2 linked regions of the Mytilus edulis genome follow. The protein of the gene in region 1 purifies or fractionates together with the protein of each later gene. This does not show direct contact. Links are inferred from orthologs where the notes say so. Each region holds a gene or a part of one and is shown in the gene's direction. Other genes may lie near its edges.

Region 1 (3,759 bases):
ATTATCACTGTATTATTATGCATATTTTAGGGGCCAGCTGAAGGACACCTACGGGTGCGGGAATTCTCGCTACATTGAAGACCCATTGGTTGCCTTCGGCTGTTGTTTGCTCTATGGTCGGGTGGTTGTCGCTTTGACATATTCACCATTTCCTTTCTCAATTTTACATATATATGTCTCTGTTGTTATTATTAATCCATCAAAAGACAAGTATCACAACAATCAGTGAGAATTATCAAGTCATTGAACAATTAGTTAATTAAAATTATCCTAAACTAGCCAACAACTTTTAAATATTTCCATGTTTTCATAAATTTCAAGAATATAAACCATATAATTATCTGAATATCAACTCCAATACCCTGGTTTATTTTTTTTTAAGTAGGGCGAACGAACTCAGAGCAAACGGACCCAGGACGAACATGTTATTTGGGCGAACTGACCCGATACCATGAAAGGGTTGCAATTTGTGCCCATTATAGGGGGGGGGGGGGGGGGGGGTAGGAGGGGTCCTGATCCCGAAATCCCGGGCTTAAAAACACGAAATGCCGAGGTCCCGAATTTAAATAAAGTTAAATCCCGGATCCCGAAATTTGAAAAAAAAAATTCCCGGATCCCGAAGTAGTAACTCCCGAAATCCCGAGCTTAAAAACACCCGATCCCGGAGTCCCGATAAAGGTCTTATCCCCCCTCATTGTAGGAAAGCCAACAACTTGTCAATAATATTGTCGAAAGTACATGTATATTAAAATGTTGTCCATGAGAAAAAAATTAACGTTTTTTCTTTATTTCTGTAGAGGGTGGAAAAGTCAAAACTAACAAATGATTTGAATAGACCACCAAGTGTCCGTAATCCATTTAAAACATTCAAGTTTTTCACATGGTGACAAAAAAATGCTGAATTTAAATACAATTTTCTCGTGTTTTTTTTTAAAAGTGGATATGTTGTAAAAAAAGTAAAGAGAAATGTTGAAAAATGATGAAGTACAATTATTTTAGGAAGCTTTTATTTGTTTGTTTACAAAGCAAAGATTAAATTATAATCCGCGGGAAATTAACTTTTTAGCCATTTCCGGTGTTTAGATTATGAACCGGATGTTGCGATCACAACGAGGCTATAAATAGTTTATGAAGGTGAAGAGCAAAACAAAAGTGCCTTCCTTTGTTTCTTTTAATAACTAAAGTAGTAGATAGCTTAGTGGAAATGTTTTGAAATTTCTGTAAAAGGACACAAGAGTTTGTTCCAGTCCATGTGTTCAGTCATTTGACACGGAAGAAAGTCCGAAGGTTTCAAGCTGTATGATCGGATAATTTCCTTGCGTCGAATGCATGCACTTTCGAGTGCTCATTCATTAGTCACAAAGAATTTCCGTGTCACTTATTGTACTCATAAACGTGATAGGTTGGAGTAAAGTTATTTATCTGAACTTACCAAAAAAGGGGGTTACCCTGCTGGGGTTTCAACCTTAGAGGTCTAAACTAAGTTTAGACAAAGGTAAGCCAGACCAGACCCCCAGACACAATGGCAGACTTTGACCCAGAGACGTTGTTAGAATGGCTGCAAATGGGACAGGGAGACGAAAGAGATATGCAACAGATTGCCCTAGAACAACTGTGTATGCTGTTGTTGATGTCTGACAATGTTGACAGAGTATTTGAAAGGTAAAATTTATATAATTTATTCATGCAGTGTTCTCCCCAGGACCTTTTCATATCATGGTTATGTGATAATATCTGCAATGGTTATCTTATCAGTCTTCACGACGAGTGGCAGCCCAGGCTGGTAAAATTGCTCTCAGGCCTGTAAAAATCAGACCTACAGGCCAACAGAATCTAACTAAAAAAATTTCAAAAATTGAGCTGTAGGCCTGTAGATTTAGCAGTTCAGCGTGAAGACTGTCTTATAGGTTGTGTTATGGGTGTGATTCTATATTTTTTAGATACATGATGGTGTTTCGATTTCCCCTGTTACCCAGGATGCTACATGAAATATCTGGGGATAACACTGTAACATGTACATGTATAACATATATTATAACCAAACTGAATATATTGTCACATGTAGAACTACATGTCAATGTGCATGAAATGTATGTTCTATGTCTTTTATGTTTTATTATTAGTATTGTGTATGATTATTATGTAAATGTATGGATATGTCGGTTATAAAAGCTCTCTGTTTATTTGTTATGTATCATGCCAACTATAACTAAAGCTTTGAATTGAATTAAATGAATTGAGTCACTGTGACAGAAATAAAACAAAGTTTGGAAGCTTATGTGTAATGCTGCAGTTGGAAGTTGAAAGCGAAAGTACATGAAGTAGTGGCATTCTGATAAGGCTTAAGAAATTTCATACAATGTACATGTCCAGGTACTTAAACTTTCAAATACATGTACATGTACATTTTAGATACCCTAAAAATTGTCAATGTTCTCATCATGGCTGAAATATATTCTGATCAATCCCTGAAATCGGATATACAGTGGAAAATAAATTTGAATTGAGGAAAAATAATTCAAAGTGAAAAGGGTTACATGTACATGTACAATCAAAATTAACTAAACCACAGCAAGACAGGAAAGTCAGTTGTGGTACAGGCACTAGTAAATATAACTATATGCAATTTAGCACGCTTCTCCTTGTTTTTCTATGAAGTAACACAGTTTTAACATGGACATAAATTCTTACTCGCACAATTTAAAAAAAAGTATATTGCAGTATTGCTGCTCTCTTCACTTGTCATGCTTGTAGAGCAGTCGCCTTAAAGAAACTCATTGGTCAAACAAAAATAAATTACAATCAAACAAATTTTGCTTGCTTGCCATATATTTTTTGGAGCATTTGTCGAAAGCACTACAAATCAAATTGGTGTGGCCTTATGTCTAGAAAATCAGACATCTTTTGAAGGACAGGTCTATTAAAGTTTTAACTCTATAATTCTGTGTTAACATGTACATGTACATGTTTTTAAGAAACTGTTTTTTTTTTCAGCTGTCCACCAAGGACATTTCTCCCAGCTTTATGTCGTATCTTCTTGGATGAATGTGCTCCAGACAACGTGCTTGAGGTGACAGCAAGGGCCATTACTTACTACTTAGATGTATCGGCAGAGTGCACCAGACGTATTGTTGCTGTAGATGGCGCTATTAAAGCTTTATGCAATAGACTGGTGATTGTTGAAATGTCATCAAGGACCAGTAGAGATTTGTCTGAACAATGTATAAAGGTACATGTAAATGCTTATGAAAATCACCCATGTTTTTCACCATGTTTAAATTTACATTATTTATAAATGGTTTTTGCCAAGTCTGATCCCTTTTAATTTTATATCAATTGTATTTGAAATTCCTTATAACCACATTGTACATGTATGAAGTTTAACAGGTACCCTTGGAATTACAATGTTACAGTCAGACTTGATAAATCCGTCCTAGAATTAGAATTATAAGGTCTTCTTTAGATAATGTTACATGTACTGTACATGTAGGTAAATCAGTGCAATAAGTGTTTAAAATGTCTTGATATCATTATGTTAAAAAAAAAAGTTGTAAGTTAAGCTTTTGAAGTATTTCATTCTTGCCAAATCCAATGAATTAAGTGAAAATATGCATATGTAACTGTGATGAGTGACATTGTATTTTTGTTACATTTGTAATTTACTGTTGAGTATTTTTTCATGTTATGCTGTGATAGACCCTGATTATGAAGCATCTGTTTTAAATCCCTTTCTTCAGAGATTTGAATAAGTCCTGTTGT
Region 2 (3,759 bases), on another chromosome or scaffold:
ACCATCTAGTCAAACGACTAAGAGCATAGTCAAAATGATTAAAGTGCATTGTCATCTAGAGGACAGTCAAAATGACTAATTAAATTGGTCAAATTGACTAATTTAGATTTTCAGTGTAATGTTGTTTTGAATTCTGAGGTTTTATCTTTGATGCTTCTACAGTTTACCGTCATGATTCTGAGGTTTCTTTTATTGGTGATGTTAAAGGGTGGTGGTGTTGTGTCCTTTATGCTGTTTCTTGTACTGTTTGCAACTGACCGATTTTTGGTAATTGATTTGTCTTTTGGACTACTTGTTACAAGTGGACTAAATGATGAAGAAAAGGTGTCCATAAAGCTGAGATCTGTTGTTAGAGGTTCGTAATAGCTTATGTTTTCAATCTCGTATGCATGGTAAGTGAATGAGGATACATTTAGGCTGTCACATTTGCAGCACATCCATTGCACGTTTGATCTTTGTAGAAGTTCGTAATCTGTCGTGCACAGTTCGATGCATGAGCGGTGGTGCCATATGCTGCAACAATCGCAACATACTCCCTCTGTTGACCATGTAACGGGTCTTTCACACAAACCACATGGGAAGACGTTTGCTGTTTTTGGACCTGGATTTGATTCAATGTCACCTGATAGTAGTATGATGAGCAGTGCTGTTGTTAAGTTTTGCCTTGCATGTATTGGTAATGATATTGGCCTTCTTCCGCTATGATGTAATTTCGGGTTTAGCAAGTTGACTAGATTTTGTTTTGTTGACCCTGTATGTGCATTTATGATATGCAGGGCTAATGAGCTGGCTAGGAAAAGTAACAGTGTATACTTCATGTTGTAACTAATATAGCAAGGGAGATCCTTACTGATTGTTGTTGTTATGAGGTTTTATCAGTATGTACAATGTAGCAAGGGAAATCCTTACTGATTGTTTCTGTTGTGTTGGTCCAATGTAGCAAGGGAGATCCTTACTGATCGGTTAAGTTGCATGTAAAATGTAGCAAGGGAAATCCTTACTGATTTTGTCTTGAAGTGGCGGTCCAATGTAGCAAGGGATATCCTTACTGCCGAGTTTGGATTGTTTAAAGTTTATGTTTAATAGATATAGCAAGAGTAATCCTTACTGCTTAACATGATTTGGATGAATGAGTTGATTAGAACACTAAATATATACACTTATCAAGGAAAAAACTGCCAAAAATATACAAAACTGGTGAATAAAACCCAGCGATATGGATTCCACCTGGAACATTAAAAAAATCACATATTCTTAAAAATAGAGAGCATTTCATATTATTTTTTTTTTTTGCTTAATTACTTTATTATGGTATTTTTTATTTTGCTGTACATATATTTATTCTGCGGTGATATTTATTATTGTTGTTCGCTGGTCGCTAATAATGCGATAATAAAGTTATAAAAGATTTCCCACCAAGAGCCTCTTCAGAGCCTGAGGTGAAATGATTGCTCCCTTACCGTCAATTTACTCGGTCAGGGAACCAGTCAAAACAGTAACTTCCGGTTTTACGTGGAACTGCCATAGTGGAAATTCTGCCGGTTGTACACAAATTATAGTTATTTACGAGTAACAGAATCATCTTATGGCATTATGTTGACGAAATTTGAAACCAAATCTGCAAGAGTGAAAGGTGAATGAAAGCATTTTTTTTGTCCAAAAGGCTTTATTTTCCAGTTACAAGGTGTAGACGCTTTAAAATGTGACAAAACTTCATAAAATCATAGACACAGGCATATTTTTCTATCTTACAAATTATATATCATCGACATCCGATGATTACACATTGTCTGCATACGTGGACTATTTAGAAAATTTGACCCATTTATTAAACGAAATATGATCTTCAATCTTTTTTCTTGATGACACCTGGGGTAATCTCTCTTATAAATTATTCGCTTTTGTAAATTAAAATCACTAATGTATTTTATTTATGTGCTTTGAAAATATCAATATACACAATGAATATGTTGTCTTATCAAATATCAATACTGTTGCAGGTCATAATTTAAAGATGGTATATTTTGATATATTATAAATATTGATTCACTAATAGGGGTTTGTCTTTTCACCACCGAACATCACTGCACACCGCCTACCACCACCGAACACTCCAAAAGACCACTAAACTTTAAGGAAAACAGTAATGTTTCACAAAACAAATCAATTAAATTATGTAATATTATTCCCATTTCTCATGTTTTTTCATATTTTTATGTGCATTTTTAGTGATTTTATTATTAAAGTTGAGAATCAAATTTAAAAAAAGGCTGCCATGTTTGATGGTGTTCAGTGCTAAAAAAGACCTACCGCACTCATAGGGTCTTTGCCTCAGAAATAAACACATATTCTAAAACCAGTTGTTGGCATGATACAGGTTGTGTTCTTCTCGTAGATTTTATGATGGTTTGATACAAAACCTACATCTACATCATTGAAATGCAAAGGGTTTAAGACCCATCACGCAAGTACTAATTAAGTCATTCAATATGGTGCTCATTAAAAAAATATTTACATGTGTGAAATTTCGCCTTTTCAGAATCTAAATGACTATGGGTAATCTCATCTGTTTGTTAGTTTATGTATCATTGTCATTGTGCTAAATGTTTTTTTTGTTACCTATTCCTACAATGTACGTATTGATGTTTAAGGCTGTTGATATCACACTTAGTTGAAACTGTATGTTTGCTATTTCAGGTCTTACTTTTCATCCTAAGAGACCATGGGTGCTGACAAGTTTATTCAATGGTGTTATCCAGTTATGGGACTACAGAATGTGTACATTGATCGACAAGTTTGATGAACATGATGGTAATACATTATACCTTTTATAGTACCAGTGTTCTCCCCAGGCCGTTTTAGCACAGCACTTTTCAGCGCTATTGCAATTCCCCGCTGTCCTATTGCACTGACCGCAGCGCTATCCAACGCAACGGCGTCGCTATATTTTTTTCAAATTTCCCGCTTATTTTTCACTTCGGATCACGTGATCGACTGGTTTACGATTTTTGAATGAATTATTTCCGTTGTATTAAAGTAACTTCACAGGACCAGTCTAATAAATTTTACAAAAATGGCGTTTTTGGAAGATCAAAATAAACAAAGATTTCAGAATACAGATTTCAACATTGACATCGATTTTTTTAATTTAAAGAAAATATAGAGGCATATATGAATGAAATGTGATGAAATGAATTGACCGCATTTCCTGACGTCACTCACAAACTTGTTTTACGAACTTTGAACAAACGATCATTTTAAAAACGATCAAACACAGGGGTTTGTTACAAATTATTTGCAGGGTTTACTATCCATACGAACCCCGAAAATGACCAAGTCTTTTAAATATTAATTATCCCCTATTCGAACTTATAATTTAGTCAGAAATTCTTCCATTTGATAACAATTTGAGAGGATATGATTAGCAAAACAAACCCCAAGCTGATACGACTTGAGAAATTTTACTTTCTCGATGTCCAGCTTGGATGAGGCCATTTAAATATTATAAAACGTTTAGGTCATAAAAATGAGAAATCTTTATGCTAAAAAATGTCAATTCCTGTCAAACGTCGTAAGGTAAACAGTACACTGCTACAGTTTGTTACAAAACCAAACAGAAGCTGACAATGACTTTATTGTTGGTCCTACATGTTCTGCAACATTACCTGATGGTGCTAAGAAATCTTGGCACAGGCAGTCTGGTGTAGATCCATCATAGAAAAAGACTCTTCCTTCAGTTTTATACATAGATAGTATGAG

What was found. Proteins that work in one complex are often made in the same cells at the same time.
Region 2: the proteins of E3 ubiquitin-protein ligase HECTD1-like (region 1) and coatomer subunit alpha-like purify together in Homo sapiens (affinity purification with mass spectrometry, with the first as the bait; 3 studies listed by BioGRID). This does not show direct contact. The link is inferred for Mytilus edulis from reciprocal best matches to the Homo sapiens genes HECTD1 and COPA.

Annotation. Positions count from the first base shown.
Region 1 is NC_092346.1:80,551,612-80,555,370, reverse strand, and holds the start of E3 ubiquitin-protein ligase HECTD1-like, read left to right. Parts: upstream 1-1,093; 5' UTR 1,094-1,522; coding exon 1,523-1,662; intron 1,663-2,994; coding exon 2,995-3,229; intron 3,230-3,759. UniProt on the Homo sapiens protein: E3 ubiquitin-protein ligase which accepts ubiquitin from an E2 ubiquitin-conjugating enzyme in the form of a thioester and then directly transfers the ubiquitin to targeted substrates.
Region 2 is NC_092345.1:20,017,840-20,021,598, reverse strand, and holds the start of coatomer subunit alpha-like, read left to right. Parts: upstream 1-1,469; 5' UTR 1,470-1,593; coding exon 1,594-1,633; intron 1,634-2,697; coding exon 2,698-2,811; intron 2,812-3,759. UniProt on the Homo sapiens protein: The coatomer is a cytosolic protein complex that binds to dilysine motifs and reversibly associates with Golgi non-clathrin-coated vesicles, which further mediate biosynthetic protein transport from the ER, via the Golgi up to the trans Golgi network.